Mus musculus: one gene and its partners. The protein of the gene in region 5 interacts with the protein of the main gene of each other region in a pairwise test. Links are inferred from orthologs where the notes say so. Each region holds a gene or a part of one and is shown on either strand. Other genes may lie near its edges.

Region 1 (4,206 bases), on a different chromosome or scaffold from region 5:
AGTTAGATTGTCTTAGGAAGCTGAAAATGAAAATCTGTCAGCTCCGTAGTGTGAATATCCAGATATAGAAAGGGAAGGAAGGGGCCATGAGGGGGAATAGAGGGATTGGGATGTGTTTGCAGAGAACACACACAGTTTAGACTCACTGTGTGCCTAAACGTGGGCTTGAGAGCAGTACTCTCTTAAGAGATGTGCCCTTGGACCACCCAGAGAGAGTCACTTTAGTTGATGTATTAGGGTCACTAAGACCCTGATGGGACTTGCATTTCCCAAGTCCTTCTGGAAATGCCTGTTGTCAATACCGCCACCGTGTGGCTGTAAGTTGCAAGGACAACGATGGTAGATTCCTGAAAACTCGAGGTCATCCTTTAGACTGCGAACATGATTTTTTTTCCCTTACATATTTTGGATTTCTTAACCCACTTTTGGTTTTTGAAAAGAGTGGAGAAGGACCTTCGTTTTATTTTTTTCCTTGAGCCAAGGCCTCCTGTAGCTTCCGGTGGTCTTGACTTTTGCTATAAAGCCAGGGATGACCTTGAACTCCTGATCTGCCTGTACCTCCTAAATTCTGGAATTACAGGCACGTGTCAGCTCGCCTGTCTTAGGCCGTGTTGAAGAATCAAACCCAAGGGCTTCCCGGACGCTGAATTCTACCAACTGATCTACATCTCCAGTCCCTCTTCCCCACCAGGTTTAGAATCAGTCTTAATTATTTCTCAGCGGACAGTTGGTTCTCCCTCCTGGCTATACATTAGAATCACTTCGGGGAACCATATAAACTCTGGACGTGTGGGCCCCACTTTAGAGATCTTGACTTAATTAACCTGGAGGCCCATAGATCGTTTTCAAGGCTTTTCAGCTTATCTAAAGTTGAAGCAAGAGTTGTGCCTCATGTCCTTATGTAATCTTTTATCTCTGTAGCCACAAACCCTTTATTAACCAGTCTTATCAGTGTCTAACAGGAGCCCAAACTGCCTATCTAGACTGAGCTTCGTCAGGCAGGCATCTCAGTTCTTCGTAGACCTTTGAAAATATTCAAGGAGAAGGTGAAATGTTATCAAGAAATGCTTATTGGGGTTGCCCCGTGCAGACAGTTCCTGAAAAAGGCTCGCAGTCAGGGCGTGAGGGGGAGCTGTAGGGAGCGCAGGCATCCAGTGATAATAAGGCAGCCCCGGCCTCACTTTCACTTGCAACCGCAAATGTGTGTATTTCTAGCTTCTCGGGGATCAAAGAAACACCATGGTGACTGAGCGACTATCAGGCGGAGCGTCCAGGAAGTGTCAAAGCGCCTGCTACAAAGTAGCCGCAGCAAGTCCGGGTCCGGTGGGAGTGGAGGCGGGAAGAAGCCCCGCCCCGTGGGCGGAGCTAACGATAGAGCGCGGCGTGGACCCGCCTTCCCGGCGCGCCAGGTGGTGTTGTCCCGCCCCGCTGGGAGGCCATCGACTGCGTCAGTTCGATTGGTCAGCCTGGCTGCGCTAACGGTCGCGTAGGCGGGGCTTAGGCCGCGGGGGCGAGCGCGGTGGAAGCCACGGGCTGTGACCGAGGTGAGTGGCGCTTGGGGTCGCCGAGGACTTTACGTGGGCCCCCTTCAGGTGCACGCCCAAAGGTGGCTTCTCCGGAATCCGGAGCGTCCCACTCACCAGCCAGGGCCCTCAGAATGGAGTCGCCCCGGCTCCTACGCGCTAGCTAGGAAATGCGCGTGCAGGTGTGGGCGTGGACCTCCCTGCGGGGAGCCCGCCCGTCGCTTTGTGTCCCTCGCTCCTCACTCAACCTCTTCTCCCAGCCGAGTGTTGAAGGTGTGCGACCTGGTAGAGGAAGCAGGAACTGAGCTTAGACTCCTACATGGAATCGGCTGGGTTCCGGGCTAGCTCCAGTTCTCTTTGCGGCGCTGTCAGGTGATAGCGATTTGGAGCCAAGTGGGAGATCGCGGAGTAAAGGGTAGGCGAGTACCCCTCCTGTCAGACTCATTACAAATTTAAGGACTCCGCCTTTATGTGGGTCCACGTTGATTAATGTGAAAAACACAGCAAAGCCTAATCAAGGTTCCCACTATTATCAACTAATCAATAATTGTTCACGCCACGGTGCAGACGTAGAGAAAGAGGACAACCTTGGGCGTCGGTCATTGCCTCTACCTTGTTTGAGACAAGGTCTTTTGTTTTTCTGCATACTGTAGGGGATGGAGGGGAGAGCTGCAGAGTCCGATCTCCCTACAGGAGGCCCGGGGTTACAGAATTCTCGCCTCCTGTGGATTCTGAGGATTGCTTCTCAAGCTTTCTTGGGACAAGTGCCTTTACCCACTGAGCTGTCTCTCTAGCCTGCCACTTTATTTTGTAATCATATCAGCGCTGCAGGCATTGGTTTCAATCTTGTGCATTGCATGGATTTTTGTAAATAGTAAATAGCTAGTAAATGGTAAACCGTGAAGAGCAAGTTGCAATGTTGTTGGAATTGAATTGTTGATTCACGTTAAGGCAAGGTTTCATGCAGGCCGTCTGAGGACGACATTGAATTCCTGATCCTCCAACCTCTGAAATGCTGGGGTTACAGCTAAACACCACCACACCCAGCTATTATATTTATGGGGGTTTTGTTTTTTTTTTTTTTTTGTTTTTGTTTTTTGTTTTTTGAGGCAAGATTTCTTTATGTAGCCTTGGCTGTCCTGGAACTAGCTCTCTAGACCCAGCTCACCTAGAACTCACAGAGATCCTCCTGCCTCTGCCTCCTGAGTGCACACCACCATTGCCTGGCTATAAAATTTTAGTATGTGTTGTATTTTAACAGATCCTCAGATACCTACAGGGCAATTAATGAACTGTTGTGAAACATGGATGGACTGTGTCAAAATATACACTTTTCCCCCCATGATGGCTGTCACTTGTACTCACACTCCCAGGGCTGAGAGGGATGGGTTGCCTAGGCTAGTTCTAGGTCAGCCAAGGTTCTGTTTCAAACATCTCCAGTTTCATCTTTTTCTCATTTTGTTTTTCTCTTATCTTCTTTTTCTCTTATTTTCCTTTTCTCTCTTTTCTTTTTCCCCACCCTCCTTTTCTTGAGACAAGATCTTGCCATGTTGTCCAGGTTGTCTTGGAAGTCACTATGTAGACCAGTTTGGCTTTGAACTTACAGGAGTCCACTAGGATTTGCTTCCTGAGTGCTGGGAATAAAGGCATGCATCACCATCCGCCACTAAACATTTTTACCACTTTTAATTATGTGCGTGTTCATGTGTACAGGTACTCGTGGGGGCCGAGGAGTTGGATCTCCTGGAGCTGGAGTCATAGGTGGTTGTGAGCTGCCAGGCGTGGGTGAAGGGGATTGAACTCTGGTCCCCTGTAAGGGATAACATGCTCTTAGCACTGTGCTGTTTCATTTCTGTTTGTTTTTGTTTTGGTTTTGGTTTTTTTGTTTTTGTTTTGAGACAGGGTCTCTCTATATAGTCCTGGAACTCACTGTGTAGACCAGGCTGGCCTCGAACTCACAAGATCTGCCTGCCTTTGTCTCCTGAGTGGTAAGATTAAAGGTGTCTACCACTGTGTTTGGCTTCTTTCTTTTCTTGAGATAGGGTTTTACTATGTAGCCTGGGCTGTCTCATATCCTTCCTAAGACCCAAAGCTGGGAATTATGGGTATGTGATTTTTTTTCTCCTTTTTGTAACACTTGGCTTTATTTGCCACGTGGCTAAACGACATCCGTCCTCTACTTCCTACTCTAGGAGTCCTGTGTGTTAACAACACTCTGTAAAGGTTCTGCCTTGGCCCTAGGATGCCGTTATTTTTTTTTTTTTCCTGTGACTTTCAAGGTTCCAAAGCCGTGTCTTGTTAATAGCCTGGATGGGGAAAAGATTACTACAGACGATTAGCATGTTTGCATTAATAGGTAATACTTTGTGTCAATTTGTAATAATTGGAAGTGTGCTCTTGAAAAAGCTTACAGGTTTTTACTATGACTTTTTAAAGAACACTTTCAGAACTCAGAGAACCTTGGGGGTTACAGGGGGTGGGGGCTTGATCACGGGTGTAAATAAGTTCTCTGCTTCCTGCTTTTACTTGAGTACACTTGCAAGCAAGGATAACTACCCTTGAAGGCCACATATCAGAATGATAGATTTGAATATCCTGCACATGTTTCAATAAAGCAATAGGAGGAAGGACAAGGGGGAAAGGAAGGGGGGCATCTGTGGAAAAAGCTGTTCGTTCTTGTTGC
Region 2 (3,518 bases), on a different chromosome or scaffold from region 5:
CCTTGCCTGTAAACAGGTAAAGCCCTGTAAACCATGGGTGGTGGCTTGATCCTTTCTTTACAGGTTAGCATGAAGAAAGACATGTTAGAAAAGGTCTTTACTCTGTCACCTGCATTCTTAGGATACTGGAGACATGTTGCTCTGTCCTGCTCTGACATTCTAGTTCTTAAAATGTTGCGCTTATGGATGGACACTATGGAGAGAGTTCACCATAATGAATAATCGTCTCTTTATGCAGCAAACATCAAACTTGTATCCGTTTGGTTTAGGTGAAGGTGTTGGGTTTTAAGTGGTTTGTTTTCTTTTGTTTGGTTTGTTTGGTTTGGTTTGCTTTTCACAGTCAGATTAGAGTCTTAGTGTAAAATGACAGGTTACTTACTGTTGATGACAAATTGTCTCCAGGATGAACGTAGCCATGGTAACACTACAACTTCCACGAAGTAGCCATGCAAAGCCAGGAAAGCTAACGGGCACAGGCTTTAGTGATGAGCTGAGGTGGTGCTTTGTCAGGGGCAATGAGACACCAACTGTAGGATTCTGTTGAAAAGATCTGAAGTTAACACAAGTTGAACTCTGAATGCATGGCCACGTGATGTATTGCTTCTGTCTAATTTGTAAGGTTTTCGACTCTACCGATGGCTGTTGAGAGAGAGGAGAACATATGAATGCGTGACTGGAAGAAACGGAGGGCTGGAAGAGAGAACCACGTTAGGGCACACTGACTCTTAAATGCATTACTTGTAGGGTGTGATGGTGCATACCTTTGATCCCAGCACTCACAAGCCAGGTCTAGCCTAGTCGACATAGTGAGTTCCAGGACAGCCAGGGTTACATAGAAAGACCCTGTTTCAAAAGACAAGGCAAAACAAAAAAAAATTTGTAACAATATTTATATAAAAATAATTTACAATAATAATATTATTATTATTATAACAATATTTCAAATATTGTTATAAATCTTAGAGGAGACAGGAGCTGGAGGGCCCATCTCAGTACTAGAGGCATGTTTAACATCCTCAAGGCTCTGGGTCTAACCTGCTGTACCCCCAAACCCAGAACCTCTGGCAAACCAAACCAAACCAAACCAAACCAAACCAAGCCAAACCAAAACAACCTTTAAGAAAATACACAATAATTTATTTTTTCTCCTTAATATTTTTATTTATTGGTAAGCTAAAGAAACAAATATAAAAACTGTAGGTTGTGGCTGAAGACAAGTGCTTTTAACATATCTCTCTTTAAAGGGTGAAGTTTGTTTTTATCGTTTCTGAACTAGCAATAGCTCTACTATCTCCCTCCCCAAAAGAAACATGTCCTGGCAAATCAGCCCATGGGCAGAGTGTGCAGCTGCCCCTGCTGCTCCTCTGCTGGACAATTCCTTCTTAGAGCTACGGATCCCAGCCCAGCCCTGAGCTGCCCTCTTCGTAGCCTCTGAGGGCTTGGACTCACCACGTAGGCTCTTAAATGTCAGTCTCCACTGCGATGGAGCTCCCTGTGATCTGATATCAGGTTTCCTGGAACATATTTATCCCTAGCTCTGGAAGGCAAAGAGATTAAATTTGACCAAGTTCATGCTATTTTTTTTTTCTGCCAAGCCCTTCCCCTCTCTTGTTGTGTCCTTTGACAATGGCTGTGTTCTCTGCTCCCCCAGAGAGACCCTGAAGAGGAAGCTTGGCGGGAGCGGTTGTGCCAGCCCTGTTACTAGTCCAAGCGCCAAGAGGGATGCTCACTTCTGCGCCGTCTGCAGTGATTATGCATCTGGGTATCATTACGGTGTCTGGTCCTGTGAAGGATGTAAGGCCTTTTTTAAAAGAAGCATTCAAGGTACAAGACTATGATAAATCATTCCTCTAGTATTTACACTTTGGCTTGCAAGCAATTTTGCAGAGATGATCTGATATAAATGTCACCCTTGGGCTGGCTTACACTTTGTGAACGTGAGCAGCTTAGATGAGTGTGTGTTTGGGAGTGGGTTGAGTGGGGGTGTATGGATGTCTGGATTGCTTGTTTCTACTCCAGAACCCTAAGATTATAGGGGCCAGAAAAGATATCTGTTTACAACCTTGTAAAGATAGTGCTAGGAAAAAAAAATCTGTGCTCATCAAAGAATGTCTATCTGTTCATTTTTTCCTAGGTTTAATATAGGGTATGCTTATGTCATGACGGTGGGCTGGCGTTTAACTTTAATGTTGGTTTGTTTATGAGACAAGGTTCCACGTAACCCAGGCTGACCTTGAATCCATTATTTAGTCATCAAAGATCCTGAACATAGGATCCTCCACCTCCACAGTGATCATAGGCATCCACCACTAAGCCCAGTTTGTTCGGCGCTGGACATGGAACCCAGGGCTGCTTCCTGCATGTGAGGCAGGCTCTCTACCAACTGCGCTATGCCCCTAAGCCACACTGTACTTCCTGACATTTACCATTCTTCATTTTCATGGTTTTCAACTTTCCTTGCCAACTTGGTCGGTAAAGCTGCCTGCCTGCGTCTTAGTGCAGTGGGGCTGTGTGGTGCAGGCTGCCTACATCTTAGTGCAGTGGGGCTGTGTGGTGCCAGCTGCCTGCGTCTTAGTGCAGTGGGGCTGTGTGGTGCCAGCTGCCTGCGTCTTAGTGCAGTGGGGCTGTGTGGTGCCAGCTGCCTGTGTCTTAGTGCAGTGGGGCTGTGTGGTGCCAGCTGCCTGTGTCTTAGTGCAGTGGGGCTGTGTGGTGCCAGCTGCCTGCGTCTTAGTGCAGTGGGGCTGTGTGGTGCCAGCTGCCTGCGTCTTAGTGCAGTGGGGCTGTGTGGTGCCAGCTGCCTGCGTCTTAGTGCAGTGGGGCTGTGTGGTGCCAGCTGCCTGCGTCTTAGTGCAGTGGGGCTGTGTGGTGCCAGCTGCCTGCGTCTTAGTGCAGTGGGGCTGTGTGGTGCCAGCTGCCTACATCTTAGTGCAGAGGGGCTGTGTGGTGCCAGCTGCCTGCGTCTTAGTGCAGCGGGGCTGTGTGGTGCCAGCTGCCTACATCTTAGTGCAGCGGGGCTGTGTGGTGCCAACTGCCTACATCTTAGTGCAGTGGGGCTGTGTGGTGCCAGGTTTCCCATCAAGACCAGACTCGCTGACCTCTCCACAGAGTGAGGCACCACCAGACCAAACCCTGTAGTTTCTCTCCTGGGCTGTGGGGCACAGAGAAGGGATCAAGGACAGGGGTTCCTTACCACTTCTGGTCTAGCTTAGGGCTTGGCTTATTTTTAAAAGCTTATTCTTTTAATTCTGTTTCCTTTTGAAATTCTTTCAACGAGTATTAGTGGAACTGTGTATTAGGTTGTGCGACACAGGAAGACAATGCAGTGTATTCTATTTTGTTCATTACTGGTACAAAACCAGTTTCTTGAATGATAATTTGTAAAAAGCATTGGGCTCACACGATGCGTAGAGATATATTCTGTATGTGTGTGTGAACCTATGTGCATGTACACATGTGAGTGTGTGTATTTGCATACATGTATGACTGTGTGTACATGCCCCTTTGGAAGCTAGAGGTCA
Region 3 (3,500 bases), on a different chromosome or scaffold from region 5:
CTCATCTTTCCTATGGAATTTCTTTTATACAAAAACAAAACAAACAAACAAAACAATTTATAACTCATGTTTGGTGGCTTCTGCCTACAATTCTGGCACTCAGAAGGCAAAGGAGAAGAACCTTCTGAAGCTGACCCCCCCCACACACACCACACCCCTTTAAGCTCTGCATTTTGTTCTAGGTCAGCCTGGATTACATGGTGAAACTCACCCTCCCCCATAAAATAATAGACAACCACAATATCAGGATTTTTTTCTTAAATTCTGGGAAAAGAACACAACATGAAAATATTATCTTCAGTGTCCACCAGGTTCCCAAAAAGACAGTATTATGGTGGATGCTAGGATAGAAATCACTCACTATTCCTGAACATGGGCTTTGTTTATGGCTATTGAACTAAGACTGAGTTTGTTGCAGTAAGAAATGGAGAAAAATAGTAAAGAAAAATATTTATTTTGCATTCTATAAACATCATTTCTCCTTGTTTAGCTATGGTACTTTGATAGTTGAGAACAATAGAATTCACGTAATCAAAAAAGAAAGAAAAAAATCACTTCCCACCTTGGGTGGCAGTGACAGGTGGGGCAAGGCATGCGTATTTCCTCATCTCCTTGGAAGGTGGTCAATTCAAGGGCTGTGTCCTCTCTGCTTCAGTCCAGGGAGGCTCTGTGGCAGCAGTGTGCCATCCAGATCACCCATGCTATCCAGTACGTGGTGGAGTTCGCCAAGCGGATAACAGGCTTCATGGAGCTGTGTCAGAACGATCAGATCTTACTTCTGAAGTCAGGTGAGCCTTCTGACTTGTGAGGGCCTATTTCAGACAGGGACTGTTTGGCCGTCAGCACTCCGCGGGTCCTAGAAAACCCTGCTTCCACAGGTAGGTCTTTTTTGCCACCCACACAGTCACCTAACTCCCTCAGGAAACTCAGTAATAAAAATGCCCTGATATCCATTCATATACCCCTTTGAAGTCAAATACAATTTTGCTTATTGAAAAGTAGAGCTATTAATTGCCGAGGCTGAGATGCCCAGCTTGACAGGCAGTGAAAGTAATTAGCATGTCAAGGTGGCTGAATTGCTGAGCTGGCGCTAAAACCAGCTTCTTGCTCCTGCAAGAGAACAAAAACATCCAAGCTGGCTGAGCTGGGCCTCTGTGGTCACTTCCAATCATTTTAATGAGAATAGCCTGCAGCCTGGATCTACTGGAAGAAACTCCTCTGTGTTGGGATCCTTCCTTCTTCTCTGATGTTCTCTTTAACACACAGGAAATACTGACGTTATTTGTGGCCTTAGCAAAAAAAAAAGTACTTGTGTCTCTCTTGGATCCTTTTGAAAAGAAAATTGGAACCCAGTAGCTTTTGGGTTCATCTTCCTGGACTCATTCACACTGAAAATAACATCCTTTTCCCTCGTACATATCTCCACATTTACACATGATGTTTCATTTATTTTTATGAGATTGGTATCATTTCAAACTTGAAACAACGAGAGTAAAAGGCCGTGTTCAATATCACAAACCATGATAAAGCTGCCATTTGAACATAGGCCACCTAGAGTTGTTATGGTAGCATGATGTTGATTCTTTAACCAATGATAGCAATGGGCAAAAACTCTGACTCAAGCACTGATTCCAATGTTATCTCAGTTATCTAACCATCCTAAAATTTGGTTAAATAATCATTTATTTATTTTGTGCTCAAGGCTACAGTTTATAGAGCTCAGAAGGATGGTTTCTCCCTACTATGCTTATTTTCCTGGTGTGCACTGAGACAATTCCCATCAGGACAGGAGAATCCATTTTATTGCTCACGTGGGCAACAATCTGCTGGTGAAAGGGTAGCATCAACAAAGGCTCTGTGTTGGGGCTTCAGTTGCTGTCCCTGTAAGAAAAATGGCTCCACAGATGGCCTGGACTTCCAGACAGTATAGTCACTGGGTTCCAGAATCCAGAATTCCAAAACAACACAGCGGGAGTTCTTATAATCTTCTGACATACCCTAAGAAGTCACATTAGGTTATCTATACCATTCTCTACCAATTAATGCTATCATGAAAGCATACCCAGGGTCAAGTGTACTAGGCATGCCTTCTACAGTAAGGTTTTGGAAGCATATGGAATAGGTGACATTTTTTGTGACTCTTATCAAAAGAATAACACCTGACCTGTTTGAAGTATGGCCTTGAACAAACACCTTAAGAAGTCAGTGTTCTAACCTTTAAAATAAAGAATGGGACCAGAACCGCAAACTAGGAATTGTAGCAAACATAGGAAAGGAACTTTTTAACAGTTCAGAGATGCACCCATCATCGCAGAGTATGGAATTCAGTCCCTTTAGAGGGGAACCCAGTTCAGTGCGTTTCTGAGATTCGTATATTCCCAATCCGTGGATGGTATTTGGTGCCATTGAATTACATGATCATTCATATCCTGCCTCCTATACAAATGGTGTCTTCAGTATAAAGGTACTTAGTACCTTAAAGCCTCCTGTAATTTCTATTTACATGAATCTATGTGAAATTCACTTGAAATGGTCATTACCACCAGGAAACTGTCTTCTGTAGTGCAGATGTGCGATCAATGGTATCTGTTTCCACTGGTGTCAAGATGACCATACCGGGTTAATATTTGTACATCTTCTCCTATCTCTATACTCATAGGCTAAAAGTAAGGAAAAATCAGCAAAGCATAGGAAATAAAACACAAACATGATAAAGTGAGGGTGTAAGGAAGGTGCCATAGATGCAGCCAAATCAGCTGTAAGATCTTCACACAAGAATGTGGTACTCCGGAGTCTCTCGCCTTCAAATAGGGCAAAGCTCACATCTCTAAAACATGGAGAAATGGGACAGCAATAGTGTCTCGGGATAGAAATGTTTGTTGAGAGGACAAACAAAGGCAATTGACTAATTCATTCACTAAATGTTATTAAGCACCCACTCTGGGCTGCCAACTTTCCTTGGTCCTACACAATGTCAGACTGAGTGAAATTACTCCAAATGCGTATTACTGCTGTTACATGTGGCAAAAATCCAAAGGTGAACCTTTCCAGAAGTAACCCTTTTTATACTAAAGCTCATAGAGTAGATGTGGCTGACACTTCCTGGACCACTTATCAACTTTAAAAGTTGAAAAGCTGGAGTGAAATTTAAAATTTGTCAAAAGACAAACAAAAAGGAAGGAAATATTGTCTTCCATTTTATCCAGCTTTTAAATATATTCTTTTTATTTCTTTATCAAAGTATCAAAAGATCTTGATTTCTAAAATTATTACTCTGTGTAATAATTTTTCACATGTGTAGTAGTACCTTCAGAAGAGAGTATAGGATCTCCTAGAGTTTGAGTTTCTTAATATGGTGCTGGGAACCTAACAGAAGCACATACTCTCAACAGCTGCACCATCTCTCTGCACCCCTAAGATGATTACTTTTGAAGAAGGACTCTCTTGAAATGTCCTAGGTCGATGATACATCTCAGAACTTTGGGGCTGAGGCAGAAGGA
Region 4 (4,191 bases), on a different chromosome or scaffold from region 5:
CTCAGAACGAATGCAGAACGAATGCTGGTTTTAAACGGGAAGAGTGGGCTGAAGAGATGGCTCAGGGATTACAAGTCCATACTGCTCTTGCAGAGGACCCTAGTTCAGTTCCTGGCACCTGTGAGGAACAGCTCACAACCACGTATAACCCCAGCACCAGGGAAACTCGACAGGCACCAGCACTTACATGTGTACACATCCCACACAATTCCATGTCATCAAAATAAAAACCCCAGGGTGTGGTGGCATGTGCTTACAATCAATAGGAAGGGTTAGGGAAGGTACTAGCAGAGAGAGGGTGGATGAAGTGGGTAGAGGACTGAACCTTGAGCTCTGGGAGGCTGAGGATCTGCTCAAACGATACTCGGGTGTGCAGTGACTCCTCCACGGTCCGCTGCTCTGGGGGAAGCAGCTCACAAAAGCGTCTGTGGGCTCTGGCAGAGAGAGGGGAACTTATTGGTGGCCTCAAGCAGTCAGTCTCCCTGTATTTATGACATCCCCATTCTGCGGTTTGAATGCCCTATAAACCAGCTGTGAAACTAAGTCACACACCCAGGATTCCCAGTCATTGGGCAATCTTTAGCCAAAGAGGGTAATTCACAAAACAGCAGAGGCTTGGGGGGGTCCCTTCTTAGGGTGGGCAATTATAAGAACTTACCCATGTCTGCAAGACACTATCTGAAGGGACTCTGACTAGCTTGGTGAGCATGGTTCTGGCAGGCCTTGCTCACTCTGCAGGGCCCAATTCCTTCTACCTTGCTACAAACCTACATTGCTAAAGCCAGCCCCCAAAGTCTATTCCCCTATTTGGCCACTTCCTCCTCCTGAGGCCGACGACCAAGGTCCAGCTATCAAAGTATTCACGTCCAGCAATCAAAAGCCCCCTTTGGCTAAAATTAAACACCTCCTCGTAGCCCAGGGTTTCCCCTTATACCTTTATAATCTGCCATTTTCCTATGTCCATGTCTGTCTCCTCTCTATCCAGAGGCAGTCCTTTCTCCTGTAGGACAAATACTCCTTCCACCTCTCCATTGTTCCCTTCCCCTTCTTCCTGTCTTCGAACTCATGTCTTTGTTATTTCTTGCCCTCTGTCCCTCTAAGGCAATAAATCTCCTTTGTGCTAAGAACTTGGTCTGGGGGTCCTGAGCTGCGACTTTCCCTTTCAGTGTCAGGCATTCTTTGCAACAGTCCTGGCAGGAAAAAGATAACTCTAGAGACATCTGTGCCTGTCCCTTTGGCTATTGAACTACAGAAACAATGTCCCCCGAGAAATTGGAATTCCCCGGCAATCTCGTGTTGTGAGAAGGATGAATTGAAGCCTGTTGTCTACTTAGGAGAAAATGTCTACCAGGAAGAGATTTTACACAGACGGCTCTGGTAACTTGTCAGAAGATCACCTTTCATGAGACTAGAGCTGAGACAATGAAGGAGAGACTCCATCTTGCCCAGGACTGCTGCTTAATTTTACATACCCTTGCCCTTTATTTAAATATAAACCTCACATCAGCTGGACATGAAGATTGACTTAAAGATGGGGGGAGGAGCGGTCATGTCCATTCTTAGCTTTTTTTTTTTCCCAGTATGGCCACATTGGATACATTTCGTTTCTCTGCTTTTCAATATTGTCCCTTTCCTTGGCCTACTGAGGACAGGTAGCACAGCCTAGCTGGTTAGGACTGCCTGTGTGGGCCAAGTACCTGGACTCTAACATTACAGTAACAAAAACACATGTTACCTCCACTCCAGAGACTCCTCTCAGCCACCACCTCTTTCCCAGTAGAATTTCATTGTGGGGCTAGGAACCTAACTCAAGCGCTCTGGCCAGCAAATCACTTATAGTGTGCTTTATAGTCAAGTTCTCAGAACTCTCTGAACCTGATTCCTTGATCTGTAACCTCCTCCTGAAGTAATGTGTGGATCACTCAGGAGCTACTGGGCAGAGTAAGGGTTCAGTAAACGTTAACGGTTACTGAATTAAACAGGTAAAGTTGGGATTGGAGCGAGCCACGTACAAGACCTCTTGGTTTTGCCAGAGGGCAAAGTCCGCAAAGAGTCACAGCAGTTCCTTTTAGAAGCGAGCAGGAAGCTCGGCAGTGAGGAGGCTAGAGGAGCTCAAACAGTTCAACTTTTCCTGGATACACAGAAGTGTTTGCGTGGTGCAAAGGTGAGGCTCTGGAGCGGGTGGGACTTGCACTCTGAGCCTCCGACTCCAGATCCAGTGATCCTGACATCCCAGAAGCACAGCCCCACCCTCGGAGGTGAGACGTCCAATCCGTATCCCGCGAGAAAAGTACCCGCAAAGCCCTCCCCTGGCAATCCCGAGTTGGAGGACCGGGGTCAGGGCAGCACTCACAGGAGGATCTCCTGCTTGGTCAGGAACGTCAGGTCCTGAAAGGCAAATCCAGACAAGGGTCTGCAAGCCGCCCGAAAGCCACGGCCGCCCCGCCACCTGTTCCCCGAACCCCACTCCCCTGCGCGGGCTCGCACGCGAGCTCCGCGAGAACTGGCGCCCCGCGCACCTGGTACTCGGCCAGCAGCTCCTTAGACAGGCGACTGCCCGAACCTCCCATCGCCGCGGTGCGCGCACAGCTAGGCCAACTCTCCCCGGGACGCCGGCAACTTTCTCACTTCCGTCCTCGGGGCCGCGTCCCCGCCCAGTCCCCGTAGCAACCGCTGCCTGGCCTCCGCCCCCGGGCCCGCCCCTGCCTACAGTGCCCCGCCACCCTTAGCGCCGCTCAGCGGGCCGGCTCCCGGCTCCCCGCGGGCCCAGGAGAGCTGGAGGGAGGGCCCGGGGAGGAGCCGGACGCATCGGGGCGGGGCCCAGGCCTCGTGGCCCCGCCTTCTAGTGGGCGGGGCGGAACGAGCCATGCGCACGTGATGCAGACTGCGCCTGCGTCGCGGTCTTCACGCGTTTGCTGAGTTCCGGGACCCGTCTGTGCACTGAGCCTTGAGATGCATCCGCCTCACCTAAATCAAGTGCAGAAGACCCCAGCTCTGGGTGGAGGCGGGTAACCTCCATACTCGCTCCCGGGCTGGAGGAGATCCGGTGCCCCTCTGCGGATAGGGTCAGTCCTAGACTGTCTCACGGGACAAGAGCTGCAGCCTCTGCCACCGTGCCAATTCTTCCAGAAGAAGCTTAGCTTCCTCTTGAAGTGGCTCTTGAAGGTGTTTACTGGATTGTGCAGTTATCGCCCATTCGTGGAACAGTTAGCAAGGTAGGCTTCCATTTTACAAACAGGTTCAATTTCAGTGATGTGTCCGGACTCCGGTATTTAGAGGTCAGTTCTGTCCACAGGTCCCTCCTGCTGTTTTATCGTCACAGCTGGGGTGCCTCCTTTGATTCCTCCCACAAATTGCGAGCTTCCAGCTGTAGGAACCAAGATTTGCCCTTCTCTCCTCTCAAATAATAATCAGATGCAAGTATGAACATATTTACACTGTGTGAAAAAGTGAAGATTCCAAGCTTCCGGAGGAGGAAATGTGGATTTTGTGATCTGGGTGGTCAACTTGGTTGGATCTGGAGTCAAGGAGAAGGGAAACAGCTTGACACTCCTGTGAGGGATTTTCTTTTTTCTTTTTTTTTTTTTTTTTTGCTTCGTCACCTGGCACAACAGGGCCAAGTCAATTACAATTTATTTGAGAATATTTTAACTTCGTACTGGACTGGTATTCATTCCTAGAGAAGTCTGGTCCTTCATCCGGCCAGTCCAGCTAGATGTTCCATACCCTCTGGGTAGGAGACTGTAAACCTTGCTTCTCATGCTTCTTTCTCTCTGCTCCTTCTTTAGCCTCCAGGAGAGGTGCAGGCTCTACCGCAAAGCCCAGGGGCTATGGCTTGCTTTCCTGGTCCACTCAGGGTCTTACCTCATAGAAACCCCTGAGCAGAGGGATTTTCTTGATCAGTTTATTTGAAGTGCGAAAATCTACTGCGGCAGTGCGCTCAGGTGGCAACCCGTACCAAACGGAAACGGAAGATGGCTTTTGGCCTGTTTGCCTTGGCTTGCTGATAAGTCTCTATCCTGTACCTGCCACTAAGGATTTCCTTTAATGACATTAGAATCATAGTGTTCCAGCTGCCAACTCAGATTGAAGACCAACAGCTCTCTAGGAACCCAGCACCGGCTTGGGACTGCAGAGATGCATCCTTGGGGACAGCTGCCGCTGTTGATCAGCCCAGACAATACTGAGTAA
Region 5 (3,518 bases):
CTTTCGATGACAGAAGTCCTTGTGTAATTCTGAGGACTGAACTTAGTCCCATCACTATGGATGTCCTGAGGGCTGGCGTTCCTTTCAACAGTTTCTTCACTTTTATGGCCGAGCAGCAACTGAAGAAGAGTGACTTTCTGGTGTGAATTCAGCTTGGAATTTGTTGAGGTATCTTGATCTTCTTTGATGTCAACGCCGGGGATCTTGGGATCCCACGTGTTTAACAAGGACTGGGTTAGGTTCTCCAGCGAAACGGGCCGCTCAGCTTCCGGCTTTTCGATCCGGTGTTTGCAAGACAGGTCTATGGGAACGCAATTGGAGTACGAGCTTTCGTCTCCACTGCTGTCATCTGTAAAGCTCGGGTTGTTATCGGAGTACTCATCAATCGTGGTGGGCGTGCTACTCTCAAAACTGCTCGCTCTCTCGTTCTGGCTGTGCCCGTTCATCGGCGTGGGTATGGTCTGGCTTTTGAGGAGATGCAAAAGCAGACTGTTATTAGCAGCCTGCTTTAGGTTGTTTCTTTCCAGTGAGTTCTTATAGCTCGTGTTTTTGGGGGAGGAAGGGACAACACCCATTGGACTCTGAAAGGTGGCAGCGTTATTCTTGTTGGCCACCAGTTTGCTTGCCGGCAGTGCTCTGGCCTGCCCGTTGAGATGGCCAGACACCCCTTTGGAGAGCTGCGAACTGCCCACGTCCTTCTGCCCATTCTCTTGCAATCTGGCCATGGCTGCAAGTCTTTCGCTTGCCACCTGATGTGCGTTCTGCGTTTTTAGAGCATGTTCCCGAGAGTACTGCTGCAGGTGGGCCTCGCTGGACAGGAGCAGCGCCAACTGGCTGCAGGCAACACTAGGCTTTGGGGAGGCAGCGGGACTCGCCCTTTTCTCCACCATGCTGGCAACAGCCTGTAATCTTGCAGCACATGACAAGGGCTCACTCATGACCTTTGTCCCACTTTGTCCCACTGCGGGATGGGATGACTCAACAAAGCTATCTCTGATAAGGTTTGGAGTCACGTCAGGGAGGGTGGGACCTGACTTTTGATCCTTGGTTTTACTTTTCTTCAACAGAGTTTTTAAGTGACTTGAGGCCACGCCATAGCACCTTAAATCCTTCTCCACTTTTAAAGACTCGTGACTGAGGGCATATCCCTGCTCCTTGAGGCTCTGTCTAATCTGCTGTGACAGAGCAACAGTCTGCAGCCTAGAGCTGAATGACTGAAGCAAAGAGGCCAGCAATGTGCTATCCTGTTTGCCTTTAGGCACACTGTCAACCATGCCAGCCAGCAACGCTTCCTTCTTTACGTTTAAATTCACGATGGAATCAGACAGCCTCTTCCGCTTTGCCGCGTTCCAGTCCTCGGAAGACTGCAGCAGTCTGGCTTTTTTGAGGTGCAGCATGCCAGATCCCTGGTACGTCTGGGTACTGACAGTGGGACCATTGCTTTGACAGGAGGGAAACGCACTGCCCGAGAGGTTAAAGTTCTGGTCTTCCTCTTTGTGGCCAGCAGACTTTTTGTTAATGGCAGTGCCTGATCCCCCTGCTGCCTGATGCATTAGTAACCCTTCGAGGTAAGTTAAGACAATAGAATCCTGATGCACATCAGAGCCAAGCTCTTCTCCATGAGTCATGTTCAATACAAGCGCTCACAGGGGCTCGGCTTCCGTTCACGTGAAAGAGCTCCTCTCGTCAGTAAGATCCCACGTGACGTCAGGAAGTGAGCGTCACCTGATCACCTCCCATAGCAGTCGGGCAGAGATGCACTGTTAACATTCTGACCAGGGGATCTTCAGGCAGTGACGAGGGGCTCAGAGGCTGGGGCAAACTCGGGTGCAGACTACAGCACTGATGAGTGGCTAGGCAAGGGCCAGCCTCGCAACTTCCTTAGCACAGCGGCAGCGCTGGCACCCAGGTCTCAGGGAATATGCTGGTTTTCTTTCTTCATCATCTTTCGTTGCTCACCAAACGCACGTCAGTATCTAAAAATATAAAAATAAAAATAGTTGAGGAGAAACAGAGCTGGCATCATGCTCATTACCTATAAGGAATAGAATACAGCATTGTGAGTTTCACATAAGGTATAACACATTATAAATATAGTTTGCACACACACACACACACTATGCACACATACACATGACAGCCACATCCATTTAACATGTGATTTGTAGGTATGTATCCTTAAAAATACTTCACTGCAACGGAAGGATGAGCTACGGCCTTGCGAACACAGCACAGTTTACTAAGAGGCTCCAATGCTGTACAGTAAGTAACACACACGTACGTGTTTCATTGTTTATTTCCTACCTTCCCCGAAAAACGAGACTGCAGGTAAATAAATAATCATTTCCTAAATCAGAACCCACCCCGGATGTTTAACTTGAGGGATAACGGGAAATCCCGAGTTCGTGCTTCTCATTCACACGTCATCCAACACAACGCTCAGACGCCAGTCTCCATGGAGATCTGTTTCAGCACTGTGGAATGACATGAAGCCGGGGAGCTATGACAGCGAATGCTAGCACTGGGCCCTGAACCTTGACCCACATATCTAGGACAGTATAAGTATAGTATAAGGAAAATCCTCTTCGCCCGGGGCGGTCTATTTCTTCTTACATGCCCAATGAACATGGACACAGTTAAACAGTAAATGTGATTCAGAAAATATCTTAAGGCTCCTTTAAAGTTTTAAGTGAAAAATTTAATAAAAGAAAGGCAAATTTAAATCTTTTTCGTTTTCTGCCCAAAATACCAAAGAAATTTGATAAAGGAAGGGTTCCCACTAGATGAGTTAGAATCTGAACCCAGAAGACCCCATGCTCATGAAGGGTGATGCTACCATTGACCTCTGTATGCCACACCTGACTAGCGTGTTCAGAAAGCTTAATATCCAGGTGGATTTTCCTCTAATTCAAGAATAAAATGGGTGAACAAGGTCGCACTAGATAACAAGAAATACAGAGTTTTCATCCCATCAGTCGCTGTACTGGAAGGACTTCATCATTCTGAGGTTTTACTGTCTGGAAGCTAGAAGCCCTTCTGCCCACCAAGACTCCGAGCAGTCACAGTTCACTCGAGACTTTTCATTAAGTGGGAAAATGCCAAAGGCAGGCGCATGACAAAAGAAGTCAGAAGGAAAGAGATGATGTGAGAGTGAGGTCATTTATTCAACTGCTTACCACAGTTGCAGTTAATCTAAAAATGAAAAAGATTTACCAATTATTAAGACAAGGAAGGTTCCTGCTCTCTATTCAGCATAATTAGCTGTTCAAAGTTTTAAGAGTAACACATTCTGGACCGAAAATGAAATAAAATATATTGAATTTGTCGTGCTTAATAACAACTTTTAAATGTGAGTCTACAAGTAGGATCTTGCAGATTTTTTTATGTTCTGAGAGATGACGCAGCACAGTGGGTTACACAACTGGTCTGCAGTTGGCTTTGAAGAGTGAAGACACTTCATGACTGCCTCCTCTTATTGGGGACTCCATTACTTTCCTTTTGCCTTAAGCCCAGTGGTG

The links.
Region 1: the proteins of Nrip1 (region 5) and Cep70 interact in binary tests that used the Homo sapiens proteins (3 or more experiments, as listed by UniProt). The link is inferred for Mus musculus from reciprocal best matches to the Homo sapiens genes NRIP1 and CEP70.
Region 2: the proteins of Nrip1 (region 5) and Esr2 interact in a two-hybrid assay, tested with the Homo sapiens proteins (2 studies listed by BioGRID, with this or other methods). The link is inferred for Mus musculus from reciprocal best matches to the Homo sapiens genes NRIP1 and ESR2.
Region 3: the proteins of Nrip1 (region 5) and Rorb interact in a two-hybrid assay, tested with the Homo sapiens proteins (2 studies listed by BioGRID). The link is inferred for Mus musculus from reciprocal best matches to the Homo sapiens genes NRIP1 and RORB.
Region 4: the proteins of Nrip1 (region 5) and Cib1 interact in a two-hybrid assay, tested with the Homo sapiens proteins (2 studies listed by BioGRID and IntAct). The link is inferred for Mus musculus from reciprocal best matches to the Homo sapiens genes NRIP1 and CIB1.

What each region holds. Positions count from the first base shown.
Region 1 is NC_000075.6:99,241,947-99,246,152, forward strand, and holds the start of Cep70 (centrosomal protein of 70 kDa), read left to right. Parts: upstream 1-1,394; 5' UTR 1,395-1,544; exon of another isoform or gene 1,545-1,938; intron 1,939-4,206.
Region 2 is NC_000078.6:76,163,755-76,167,272, reverse strand, and holds part of Esr2 (estrogen receptor beta), read left to right. Parts: coding exon 1-16; intron 17-1,651; coding exon 1,652-1,824; intron 1,825-3,518.
Region 3 is NC_000085.6:18,957,697-18,961,196, reverse strand, and holds part of Rorb (nuclear receptor ROR-beta), read left to right. Parts: intron 1-655; coding exon 656-788; intron 789-3,500. UniProt on the Homo sapiens protein: Nuclear receptor that binds DNA as a monomer to ROR response elements (RORE) containing a single core motif half-site 5'-AGGTCA-3' preceded by a short A-T-rich sequence.
Region 4 is NC_000073.6:80,229,991-80,234,181, forward strand, and holds the start of Cib1 (calcium and integrin-binding protein 1), read right to left. Parts: upstream 2,816-4,191; 5' UTR 2,571-2,815; coding exon 2,520-2,570; intron 2,389-2,519; coding exon 2,354-2,388; exon of another isoform or gene 2,013-2,353; intron 435-2,012; coding exon 326-434; intron 1-325. UniProt on the Homo sapiens protein: Calcium-binding protein that plays a role in the regulation of numerous cellular processes, such as cell differentiation, cell division, cell proliferation, cell migration, thrombosis, angiogenesis, cardiac hypertrophy and apoptosis.
Region 5 is NC_000082.6:76,293,040-76,296,557, forward strand, and holds part of Nrip1 (nuclear receptor-interacting protein 1), read right to left. Parts: intron 1,977-3,518; 5' UTR 1,629-1,976; coding exon 1-1,628. UniProt on the Homo sapiens protein: Modulates transcriptional activation by steroid receptors such as NR3C1, NR3C2 and ESR1. Also modulates transcriptional repression by nuclear hormone receptors.